Linked DNA regions of Neurospora crassa OR74A. The protein of the gene in region 2 interacts with the protein of the main gene of each other region in a pairwise test. Links are inferred from orthologs where the notes say so. Each region holds a gene or a part of one and is shown on either strand. Other genes may lie near its edges.

Region 1 (4,058 bases), about 220 kb from region 2:
TACTCTAACTGTAAAAACAGTAACTGTGGCTTTGGACAGACAGACAATCCTCCCCCCCGAGCGATGGCTGCTTTCGGGGCTTGCTTATACCCCTTGCTTGGTTGGTTGGTCGTTGGTCGCTACAGGTCATTGGAAAGATTCATTATATTCAGAACCATGGTTTTCAAGGGGGGGATCAATCAGTCTACCTTTAGTAGCAAAGCATATTTTCGGTTTTATTGGAATCGGCGAATTTGGCGTTTAATAGACACGGGGAGACCCACAATATGAAGTACTTGTTTGTTTTTTTCTTTCTGCCATGTCTTGTCTTGTTTTATAGTAGTAATCCTCAGTACTTTCTGACTCGACAAGTTACTCGTTTCTGTCTTCTGCCAACGTGACTGACCTCTGTAGCTCGAGACCTGACTAGGTATCCTAGCCAAGGATATATCCAAGGTCAATCTTGGACTACTACCCGTTCGTTGATTCCATCTTGCACTCAGTCGACAACACAACAACTCTAAACAACACCTAAAAGACACAGTTGGTTCAAGTCGGTAACTAAATACAAAGTATTATATCTTTTATCATTTGTATTATTATAAGCGTTAAGACCCGACAAAACCAAACCAACCCCTTCCTTCGCATGCTAATGCTCCGATCGCCTTGCTTTAGCCAGCCAGCCAAACCGTAAGCACAAAGCACAGCCAAGTTTCTCATTATAGTTTGCTTCCCCATTTGTCAGGTTGTCTAGCCCACCCACCTCTATTTCCCTCCCCCCACCCCCCATCATCATCATCATCAAGTTCCATCTCATTCTCTCATCATATATTTACCCCATTATATCGTTAACCTCGTTAACATCGTCAACATGATCATCATCCCCATTGCTGTCTTCATCCCCAGCCGTCACGGTTTCCCAACCAGCACGCCCTTTCCCTAGGGAAGAGGAATTCAGCTTGTCCTGCCCTGATCAGACCAGAGCAGACCAGACGAGAGCAGACCAAACCGCACCAGGCCGCCAGACCAGTCAGACCAGTCCAGTCAGTCTTAACAAGCGCACCCTTCCTGCGCCACCGTCTCCTTACTGCTGACATCGATCCTTGTCGCCGCCGCCCCCGTGCCCGCACCACCGGCACCTTCCCCACCGGTGCCCTCCATCCCGGGCAAGGCCTGGGCTATCCTCTTGAACAGCGTCTTGACGTTGTGGCCCAGCTTTGCCGACGTCTCGACAAACATGAGGTTGTTGCGCCGGGCCTCCTCCTCGCCCTGCGCCGTGGTCACTTCGCGCTTGTCGTTCAGATCCGTCTTGTTGCCCACCAAGACAATGATCACGTCGTTGCCGCGCTCGGCGCGCACGTCGTCGATCCATTTTCGTGTGTTTTGGAAGGATTTGGCGTCTGGTGTTGGTTATGAATGTTAGTGTCCTGTTTCTTTGGGGGAGGTTTTGAAATTGGTGGCTTGAGGGGAGGAGGGGGGGGGGGGGGGGAAATAGCGGGGGTGGAAGGCGGTGAGGGGGGGGATTTGGGGAGAGAGAGGATGGTCAAGAAAGGCGGAAGAGAAAAGAAAAGAAATATCATAACATAACATACTCGAAATGTCATAAACTACCACGGCTACTGACGAGTCGCGGATGTACGAAGGGATCAAAGAGCGGAAACGCTCCTGGCCGGCTGTGTCCCAGAGCTGTAGGCGGACTGTTCGGTCTTCGAGGTACATGGTCTTTTTCCCCCCCGTAAAGTTAGCCAAAGGCTCTCATCTTGTTCTACTAGTTCTTGGGTCTTTGCAACTGTCGCGCATTGTCTGTCTGGGAAGGAAGGGCGGTAAAGAATTGAATGGGAGACGGGGGTCGAACATGCCTTGGAAAGGAAATCGATACCAATGGTGGCTTGGTACATGTTATCGAACGAGTCGTACATGAAGCGTGTGATGAGCGACGTCTTGCCGACTGTTTGCGCGCAATCGTTGAGTTAGCATTGGTGTCTCGGAGAACATCGTGGAGAAAGTGTTGTAGGTTGAGGTAATCGCATACCGCTTTGTTCGCCCAAGAAGACCAACCTGGCGAGGAGAAAGAGTGGTTAGCATCTTGTCTTGTTTTGTCTTCCATTTGACTTAAGTGCATTGTCTGCAAAAGTGTCGGGTATGTTGTCTTACTTGAATTTCTTCAAGGGGTTGTTGTATGACCCGCCTGCTTGCGCCATTGTGATGGATGTGTTTGCGGATTAACGGTATTTGGCGGGGTAGGTAGGTAGGTAGGTAGGTAGGTAGCTGAAGGTATTCGGAAACACGATCAAGGGGAGGAAGCTTTCGGACTTTGGAGGAGGTGGTGGTGGTTAAGTGGCAGAAAGCTTAGTAGTGTAGGCGGTCGGAGTTGGTCTAGAGTTAGATAGGTGTCTGCTGGTCGTCGAAGTGGAAGATGGACGGCGGCGGAGAGTTGCCGGAGACTGATCATGCAGCGTTGAGTGGTCTCAGTGGTGCGACGGACGGGGCGTGGTGGCCGGGGGGTGGATGACAAGGGAGCTTGGAGGACAATCGGGTCGGTGTTTGGGATCCAGTCGGGGTCTCGTTGCCGACTTGGTTGCTGGGGTCTTTGCAGTCCGTCGAGTCTTCGTTTACCAAACAAAAATCGGGTCGAGAGATCGTTTTATAAGAGTTGATACCACAGAGAGCAGAAAATACTTGAACATTTAATATTTTGTTTGGATACAGATTAATTGATTGACCGACATTCCGTATGTACGTATGTACAAGTTTACATGTTTTTATCCATTGTTTATGCATAACCTCAAGTTCGAACAACAAAGTGTTTCTTGCGACTATTATTCAGTCTTCTTCCCCGAAGCGGACTCATGCGAGAGAAAGGGGACCGCGCCAAGCGATCAGTGGAGGGAAACAGTGGCCGCCCGCCGCCTTTCTGCGCCCAGACAAATTCGACACTTCACTTGACCAAAACGACCGAGACCGGGCATCCAATGGAAGCTTGGCGGCCGTCATTGGATTTGTCCAGAGGCCGAGGCAGCTTGGAAGTCTGATTGGCTAATTGCTCCAACTGCCAGCTGAGCACGGCTGGGGAAGGGAACTGAAGCGCTGGACGCTTGTGTTCCATGAAGTTGCTCTTCCCTGTCCTGTCTCGGGCAGGTCTTTCTTATCTTATCGCTGCCTCCTGTCGCCGCTGAAATTTTGAGTTGCACACCCCACTGGGCAGTCGGATTGATTGCAGAGGAGACCCCAGAATTCCAGGCGGTTTCGAGGTATCAATATTTCCAATTTCTTATCTGCCTCGAACCTCCGCCGACTCGTTTGATTTCTTCGAGTCGTCAACCCAACAACACAACACACCATCACATCACATATCCAAAATGCCCGTCCTAAAACCCTTGTCGGGCAATCCCGAAGCCCCCAAGCAATACAACCAACCGTCGAGAAAGGGCAAGAAGGCGTGGAGGAAGAATGTCGACGTGACAGAGGTCGAGCAGGGTCTCGATGAGTTGAACGCCCAGATTATCAAGGGGTACGGCGCTCCTTCTGTGATGCTTTGTATTACCAAAGACACCAATTGGTTAACATGAATTATCGTATAACAGTGGTGTCATTGCCGAGAAGACCTCCGAAGAACTCTTCGCCATCGACGTCAAGCCCGACACCGAAATCACCAAGAAGCTCCCCAAGCAACTCAAGAAGCCCTTGAAGGCCGACGAGATCCTCGCCCAGCGCTCCGCCGTTCCCGCCGTCTCCCTCAAGAAGCGCCCGGCTTCTGAAACCTCCGGCAAGGTCACCGACGGCGTCCTGCCCTCCAAGCGCCTGCGGGCCACCTACGTCACCCAAAAGGAGCTCAGTCGCCTGAAGCGCGTTGCCGACGGCCACCACACCACCACGGTTGAGGTCGTTGACGCCACCTTTGACGCCTGGGCCGACCCAGAGGAAGAGCAGAAAAAGAAGCAGCAGGCCGCGGAAACGTTCAACTTTTTGCCCAAGGTCGAGAAGCCCAAGGCGCCCAAGACGCTCACACAACAACCCATCTCCCTCGCCGCCACCGGCAAGCAGCTCCCCGCCGTTCCCAAGCCCAAGGGCGACAAGTC
Region 2 (4,294 bases):
CATGTCGAGGCGTTCTTGGGCAAAATGGGAGAGAAAAAAAAGGATGTCAACAACAACTACATAAATCTCACTGTTGCTACGTCGTATATTCACCTATCGCCGACCCATACTTAATGAAGAGTTACTGTGGCAACGCTTCGTTCGAGACATGCTTATAATGGTCGTACATTGGAGAGTGATACGAGCTACGGTCATTCAAACACCATCACCACTACCACCACCGTGATGAGGAAATTCCCAACTCAGGGGCTCTGAAAGCATCATCTCCACATCTAATATCTCTACGGTGTTAACTTTCACTGTGCTAACACCAGGGGAACCACTTCCTTTTGATTACTTTGTCGTGTTTATGAGATTAATGTGATTTATTACCCATCTCCTCTACTCGTCCCCGTCGCTTTGGAAACTGGGTGAGTTGAAGGGGGAAGTGGCTGACTGGCTGACTGGCTGACTGCCCGTAAAACCTCGCTAAACAAAGCAGCAGCAGCAGCAGCAACAGCAGCCTGTATGTACTAATGTGATATGTAGTACAGTTTATGCTTTCAAACGGAGAAACCATCAATTAAATGTTGTTAATGTTATGCCTTAATCCATATCCATATATCCCTTTATGTCACTGTCGTCCATTGTTTACTCCTGCGACATCTGGATACCCTCCCTCAAACCTTCAACAACAAGCTCCTCGCCCGCGCACCGGCGGTAGATGTCCTTGACATCCTCTGTCGAGGTCTCAAAGTGGCTGGTAGCGTCGTAGCTCTTGGAGATGAAGATGTTGTCGTTGCGACCATCCTCGAGGGGCTCATAGAGGGGAATGGGGGGACCCTGTTTGTTGTGGGAAAAATTGGGTTAGTTATCTTTCTAGAAGCTAGGTAGGCAAGAATGACGGGGGAGAACAAAAAAAAACATACCATGAACTGCTCCTCGATCTTGCCGAGGCGCTCGATACCAGGGGCGAGCTCGAGGTGGTGGTTCGCAGAGGTCTCGGCAATGGTCGAGACAATGGCGATCCAGTAGCCCTTGGGGCAGACGTTGTGCGCCGAGGAGACGCAAGCAATGTAGATATCTGGACAACCCTTTATTAGTGAATCTGTTTGGATTATCATGTTGTGACGCAAAACAAACTTACCGTTCTTGCGGCCCACCTGCGACTGGGGAATGATCAACTGGCACGAATCGGCATCGTTGGTGCTAGCAAGGGGGTGCTTGAGAATGCAGATGGCGCGGAGGACGTGGCCGACAACCTTGACCTTGTCGGGGAAGTAGCTGGGGTCACCGAGGATCATCTTGGCGCGGGTCTCGAACTTCATCTCGGGCTCAACGCCGGTCATGGTGGCCTTGATGCCGACGGCCTTGCCGTTCTCGTAGACGAGCTCGTCAACGTTGGTGTTGAGCATGTAGGTACCGCCGTAGATGGCAGAGAGACGGGCGAAACCCTGGGGAAGCTCGCCGAGGCCGTAGAGAGGGTAGATGTATGGCGACTTGCCGTAGCGGGCAACGGACTGGCCGTAAAGGCGGATGCGCTCGATGGTCTCAGGGGCGGCGCCAGGGGTATCGAGGTAGTTGTCGTTGAGGTAGAGGGCCATGGCGTGGCCGACAAAGTCCTTGGTGCCGGCCTCGAGGCTGAACTTCTCAAAGACGTCCTTCATGGTGCAGGTGGCCATGTCAAGACCTGCAAGCGCCCCTACTGGTTAGCGCTCATGAACAATACAATATGACAGCAAGTGTATTTGTGGGCCGAACTTACCCTTGTGTGTGGCGGGGTCCTTGGGGTCGAACTCGCCAACCCACTCGATGAAGCTCTTCATGCGGCGCTTCTCGAAGATGCCCATGAGGGGCGAGCGCAACGCCTCGGCGGCATCTGAGGGGACCTTGGCGATGGTGGCCTTGGAACCAGCACCCTGCTGTACGTAGCTGCCGGCAACCTGCTTGAACTCGAGGTAACGGGTAACATCGGTGGAGACAAGAATGTTGGTGAGCTCGCCCGAGGACATGAGGAACTTGGGAACAAGGTCGATGTTCCAGTCGTTGGGGCGACCGTATTCCTTCCAAGGCTCGGTACCGGCGGCAAAGTTGCCATATTTCTTGAAGAGCGTCTCGAGGTTAACCGACGCCGCCTCACTGCGCAAGGAGTCATGTTAGCTTCCGTTGTGTCCTCATCATGGTTCGATAGGGGGGTGAAGGGGGGGGTTGAAGGGGGGGAGAGGGAAGTACGAACCCGCCGTAGTGGTCGTTGCGGTCGATGTGGAGGACCTTCTTTCCCTTGACACTGAGAACACCCGAGAGAATACACTCGGTCAAGCCAGTGCCCAGCACAATGACATCGTACTCCTTGGCGATCTCGTCGGCCATGGTTGTGGTGTTGATAGTATTAGTTGTGGTTGGTTGTTGTGGTGAGTCGGCGGTCTTGCGGTCTGCAAGCTATAAGCAACAAGCTACAGGTAGTAGGAAGCTTGTTGTTTGGATTAGAGGGGGGTGGTGGGGGTGGTGGTGGTGAGAGTAGGTAGGAGGCAGGTAGGTAGTAGGTGGTATATAGCAAGCAGGCTAAACACACGACGACGGAGAATGGAAGAAGCAGAACAAGAAGAATGGGACGGGGAAGAAGGAACGAAGTTGAAGGCGGATCACTTGATACTAAATGGGGGTAAGTAGGTAGCCCGCCAGAGAGAGATGATGGACGACCAGGGACAGAGACCAGCAGTTGAGTGGACTGGCTGGTGGACTTCCACTTTGTCGTGGACTGGACTGGACTGGACAACTGACAGGAGGCGGCGTCCCGTCGGTCTGTCACGTTAGTGTGTCCATACCTGGTTACTACCTACCTAGGGGACAAGGGACGACGACGGACGGGGCGTTGACGGACGGACTGGGGCCGCACTGCCGCCGCTGGGCTGCTGCCACTGCCTGCACACACGCTGCATTGCTGGCACCGCCTGCGACTGACAGCAGCTTCCACCTGTTGCAAGTACGGTGTGCAGGTGCAGGAAGCTGTCAGCCATGGGTCCAGGTCAGGTCTCCGTCACGGCACTCCATATGATCCATTCAGTTTGCTCTGATCATGTCCATCGTCGCCAGGCTGTCAGTCTTCAACCACCATTCAAAACCATTGAGAGACAAACAGACACCTCTTTGATGAAAGTAGGGGGCATGTCCAATGCATGGTCGTGTCTCCTCGGGGCTCCGGTTTGGGTGGGCGGTCTCGTAGGCGGTCTCCCCTACCTAGGTAGCCCAGCCCATGGAGGCCAGGCTTCTTGCTGCCGGCCAGCCAGTTGTGGTACCTCTAGCAGATGGCCGGCCTCTGGTTCGTCACCGTCGTGGTAGGAAGTGGGGGAGTCGTACAATGAGGGGCGCGAACGGGACCCCGCTTTGAGCTTCTTTGAGCTAGACCGGAGCCAAGAAAGTAATGTCCCCCTAATGTCCCCCTTGGTGGGACTCGGGCTCGCTAATGATTTGATGTTCAAAGACATGAAGACCGTTCACTGATCTGATGAACAGAACCCTGGCTTGCTTCATCTGGTCCCCGCAACGATGATTGATATGTATATATAGAGATCCATATATATATCATTCTGATATATGTACACTACCACTCGCCATTTTGTATCTAAAAATTGGACTTGGAAACGAGCTTTGTCTCGTCTATCCCGCCATGCCCCTTCCTCCTGACCTCTCCATGGTCTCGCCTGTCCAGGTTGGCGCCGATGATGATCTCCCCAGCTACCGTGGAAATCTAGACATGTCCTAAGCGAGATGTTGGTATACAGAGATTCACGCACCCCAGATCTCGGTTGTTCGGCCCATCACTATTCACCAGGGACCGCCTAATCCATATGGGACACCCATTCCCATGAACCCCATGGGGCTTTTTGTTTTTGCTTCGTTGGCTTCTTCATGAAAATCTCCCAGGCCCATGTCCTTCCCTCTTTAGAAACAGGGCCTGTCCGGGTTGAATTTGGCTGTTGTACAGTGAACACATATGATGCTCGTTACACTATCGATACAGGTTGCAAAAATGTGTGGTGGTTTGTTTTGGGAAAACGGGTATCGTGACTGTTTTCCCCCCCTCGTCCTCTTACCGCAAGGGTACCTTCACGACCGTTCGCCCGTCTGGTTCATTTGGGACCGCTTCCCTCTCTTCATACCCTGGGGGCTTCGGCTTGGGACTTGGATGATGGTATCGTTGTTGGGTCGATTTCTGTGGTGGTGGATTGCGTCTCGCTGGCCTCGGCGCCCTCCGCCGTCTCTTCCGCCTCGAGGAATGTGCTAGGCGTGTAGGGGTTCTCGGGGTTGGACAGGT
Region 3 (3,582 bases), on a different chromosome or scaffold from region 2:
AAGGTAGAGGAAGTCGTTCAGGTGGTGAGTGACTCGCGCCTGTCCGCCGCTTTCTGCGCCGACTACGGCCACGAAGAGGAACTGCTTCGGAGCAGTCTGGACGCTCGTTCGAGTGAAGAGGCGGCGCGCGCGCAGGAGTTCGAGGGCTTGGATTTGCACGGCGCGCGGGGCATGGTCGAGGTTTTGGGCGAGGACGACGTTGGCTATTTGCGTTGCCGGTGGTTGTTGTTGTTGTTGCTGCTGTGATGGTGGTGGCGGGTGGGCGGAAGAAGATGAGCCGGGAACATTTTGTTTCGAGGAAAAGTATGAACCCGAGCCGGAAGGTACAGAGCGGTGGGAGTGGTGGTGTTGGGGGTTGTTGCTGTTGTTGGGCAGTGGTGAGCTTGGTGGAGTGACGGGGACTAAGAGTGCTGCTGCGAAATCATCGAGTGTCATCTGCGAGTGACATGGGACGATGACGGGCGTGAGGCCAAAGGTTTTGACGGCGGTCAGACATAGCTCTTTCGATAGGTCCTCGACAAAGTCGGGTTCGGTGCTGATCAGGCAGTGTTCCCGTGCGATGAGGGAGAGAAGGACGGCGAGCTCGAGATCGCTCAGGCTGTGTATTTTGTCCTGGAGTTCGGCTTGTTGTCGTTCCTTGATATCATCCTCCATTTCCAGTGCCGTTATTATGCCGAAGCATGAGGATCATATCCATGGACAGGAGTAGACGAGTCTCTTAGGTAGTGTAAGAGCAAGAAGAACTGGATGCCGATATTGCGGTCCTTCACGCCGGCGCTTTTTTCTTGTCACCGGGATTGGGCCATGCTTGGTGGATGGAAATCTCGAGATGGTCCGTCACTTTCCACAGTCGCCCGATCGGCAGGATGTTGTTAGGTTTTTATGTCTGTAAATTGTAGAGATAGTTATTCCTGTGAAGCGTACGAGTACATCAAGGGTGTGACAAAACTGAATTGAATGGAAGAAATGTGAGTCGGTCGCAATCTGTCGATCCTTTCTGCCCCTGGGACTGTTCCGCTGAGGAATGGGAGGATGACATGGCTGATGAAGAATGAATGAATGATCAATCGACACTTAATCCTTGGCGTTGGGCATGGTGCAGTGGGCCACAGGTTCCTCTTTGCGGGCCACCTGTCGTACATGTCGGGTGTTTCAGCTCGGACCAGGCCGACTTTGGGCGCTGGCGGGTGACTTCATTGGCTCCAGGGATGCACTGGCGAGACTGGACCAGTGGTGCGTGCCTGCCTGACGGCGCGCCAAAGGCGTCGAGGGCGTGTTAGCGCTGCGACCACCTCCGTCACTAGGTGGTTGTGTCGCAGAGCCGTCGCTCCTCCAACAGCGCAGCATTCAGTGACCAGCCCCAGTTCAACAAGTTCCCGCCGCCCCAACGTCCAGGTCGGTCACGTCGGTCGGTTAGGTCACCACTTATCGAAAACCAACCTACCTTACCTACCGCTTGGCCTTGTTTAGACTGAGTGCCGAATCTAGCAGCCTGCTACGACCTACACTAAACCCAACATTTGTTGCGCCCGCCGTCCTCCTCACACTCTTACGACTCCCATCTTTCTCGACTACCATCACTGGTGGACTGTTGTTCTTGACGATTGCCCGGAAGCACGCCAGCACGAGCAACTCCACCTCGTCCCGTTTCTACGTCTTATCAAACAACTTATCTAATTCCATACCGCCCGCCATGTCTTCGAGGAAGAAGGTTCTTCTCAAGGTGCGAGTCGGCCGCCAAATCGGACCATCTAGACAGCAACAGCTAACAATGACTCCCAATGGCAGGTTATCATCTTGGGCGACAGCGGTGTCGGAAAGACCAGTTTGATGAACCAATATGTATGCCAGCGTCGAGCCCGTTGTCACCATGCATTATGATACAAAGAGGACGTCATCTGACCCCCGCTCTTTTGGCGCAAAACAGGTCAACAAGAAGTTCAGTGCTAGCTACAAGGCCACTATCGGAGCCGATTTCTTGACCCGGGAGGTTCTGGTGGACGACCGCCAAGTAACCATGCAGGTGCGTGCGCCAAATACCCTACTTTGAGCTGGTTGGACGACGTGCTAATACGTAAGGTTCTCGACGGGCAGCTGTGGGACACAGCCGGACAAGAGAGGTTCCAGTCGCTGGGCGTTGCCTTCTACCGCGGTGCCGACTGCTGTGTTCTAGTATACGATGTCAACAACTCCAAGAGCTTCGATGCGCTCGACAGCTGGAGAGACGAGTTCCTTATCCAAGCATCTCCGCGAGACCCGGATAACTTCCCGTTCGTCGTGCTGGGTAACAAGATCGATATGGAAGAGAGCAAGAGGGTGGTATGTTTTCTGTTCGATGGGCCTTGTCGTATGTTGGAGATCATCATTTACTGACCTTGTGGCGCAGATTTCGACCAAGAGGGCCATGACCTTTTGTCAATCCAAGGGCAACATTCCGTATTTCGAGACCAGTGCAAAGGAGGCTATCAACGTCGAGCAGGCCTTTGAGGTTATCGCCAGAAACGCGCTCATGCAGGAAGAGTCGGAGGAGTTCAGCGGAGATTTCCAGGATCCCATCAACATTCACATCGAGAACGACCGGGATGGATGCGCGTGCTAAGGGCGAAGGAGCTCCATCAAGCTTCTAGTCCTCCTTTTGGGTTTATGAGGGAGTTTGGTTTTTCATGTCTTCATTTGTATGATATCACGCTGGGTATGACAGGAATGCGGTTTTGATCTTGGCTTGCAGAGACGGTGCTTAATGACCAGTGAGTTTGGAACGGGGGGAGTCAATGGGGTGCGCAAGAGTGAACGTGAACGGTGACGAGCAATGATAGATATGCACTGGTGTAGATGGGAGTATGGAATAATCATGGTCTTGGTGCCAGAGGTTTTCATCTCGACTGTCTTTCCTCTCCGAGTTTCCATAGCTGAGCATCTGGTAATTAGTCTAGGACCTGTGCAGCGGTCTTTCTGACTGTATCCAATGTGCTCTTCACCATGTCATCACATTTTGTAACAAGTGGTCGCAAGTCAACGACAACCCAGAGCTGTTGTATTATGGCACGACAATCTGGAACAACACCGAAAAGATTACTGCCTGCCTACTACCAGCGATAGCAGGTACCCGCCAGCTCCTTTCAGATAAGCGACCTATGTGGGAAATGCGTCTCCGCAGCTAATGTTTGGATGAGAGGTACCTACGTACATGCCTACATAATCACCTGCAGATGCATAACCTTTTCTTCACATTTTCAACTGCAACTAACGTTTGCCTTTTCAGCTCCTTCACCTCTTCACATCTCCAGGATGGAGAGTTTCATCATTGAGCCGATGACAAAACCACCGGCGACAGTAGCGCATTGGCGTGATGTCTCAGTGGTTGAAGATGAGTGGTAAAACAAAGCAACGGACACCGTACCTACTTCAACGGCCTATGGACTTTTTTTGTTGACTGAGAATAGCAAACAGATTGGACCCATCAAGTATTCGCGTCAGGGGCTGGATGGTATCACAGGGACTCCCATGGCGCCTCCGCAACTCTACTCGACTTTGAGATTTTGCGATTCCACTTCCCCGGAGTGGCAAACAACGACAAACCCA

The links.
Region 1: the proteins of NCU05288 (region 2) and NCU05234 interact in binary tests that used the Saccharomyces cerevisiae proteins (3 or more experiments, as listed by UniProt). The link is inferred for Neurospora crassa OR74A from reciprocal best matches to the Saccharomyces cerevisiae genes GDI1 and YPT6.
Region 3: the proteins of NCU05288 (region 2) and NCU03711 interact in binary tests that used the Saccharomyces cerevisiae proteins (3 or more experiments, as listed by UniProt). The link is inferred for Neurospora crassa OR74A from reciprocal best matches to the Saccharomyces cerevisiae genes GDI1 and YPT7.

What each region holds. Positions count from the first base shown.
Region 1 is NC_026504.1:5,666,701-5,670,758, forward strand, and holds NCU05234 (GTP-binding protein ryh1), read right to left. Parts: upstream 2,700-4,058; 5' UTR 2,181-2,699; coding exon 2,134-2,180; intron 2,038-2,133; coding exon 2,012-2,037; intron 1,928-2,011; coding exon 1,839-1,927; intron 1,702-1,838; coding exon 1,572-1,701; intron 1,380-1,571; coding exon 1,030-1,379; 3' UTR 510-1,029; downstream 1-509. Other genes in the region: NCU05233 (60S ribosome subunit biogenesis protein NOP53), read left to right, coding at 3,339-3,490, 3,564-4,058. UniProt on the Saccharomyces cerevisiae protein: Protein transport. Might participate in post-Golgi transport.
Region 2 is NC_026504.1:5,449,810-5,454,103, forward strand, and holds NCU05288 (rab GDP-dissociation inhibitor), read right to left. Parts: upstream 2,801-4,294; 5' UTR 2,350-2,800; coding exon 2,216-2,349; intron 2,119-2,215; coding exon 1,745-2,118; intron 1,670-1,744; coding exon 1,127-1,669; intron 1,064-1,126; coding exon 909-1,063; intron 823-908; coding exon 631-822; 3' UTR 314-630; downstream 1-313. Other genes in the region: NCU05287 (50S ribosomal protein L4), read right to left, coding at 4,134-4,294. UniProt on the Saccharomyces cerevisiae protein: Regulates the GDP/GTP exchange reaction of SEC4 by inhibiting the dissociation of GDP from it, and the subsequent binding of GTP to SEC4. Plays an essential role in the yeast secretory pathway.
Region 3 is NC_026505.1:2,172,423-2,176,004, reverse strand, and holds NCU03711 (GTP-binding protein ypt7), read left to right. Parts: upstream 1-1,252; 5' UTR 1,253-1,693; coding exon 1,694-1,723; intron 1,724-1,788; coding exon 1,789-1,842; intron 1,843-1,927; coding exon 1,928-2,023; intron 2,024-2,094; coding exon 2,095-2,319; intron 2,320-2,386; coding exon 2,387-2,599; 3' UTR 2,600-3,020; downstream 3,021-3,582. Other genes in the region: NCU03712 (hypothetical protein), read right to left, coding at 1-654. UniProt on the Saccharomyces cerevisiae protein: Ypt/Rab-type GTPases are key regulators of membrane trafficking and intracellular vesicular transport.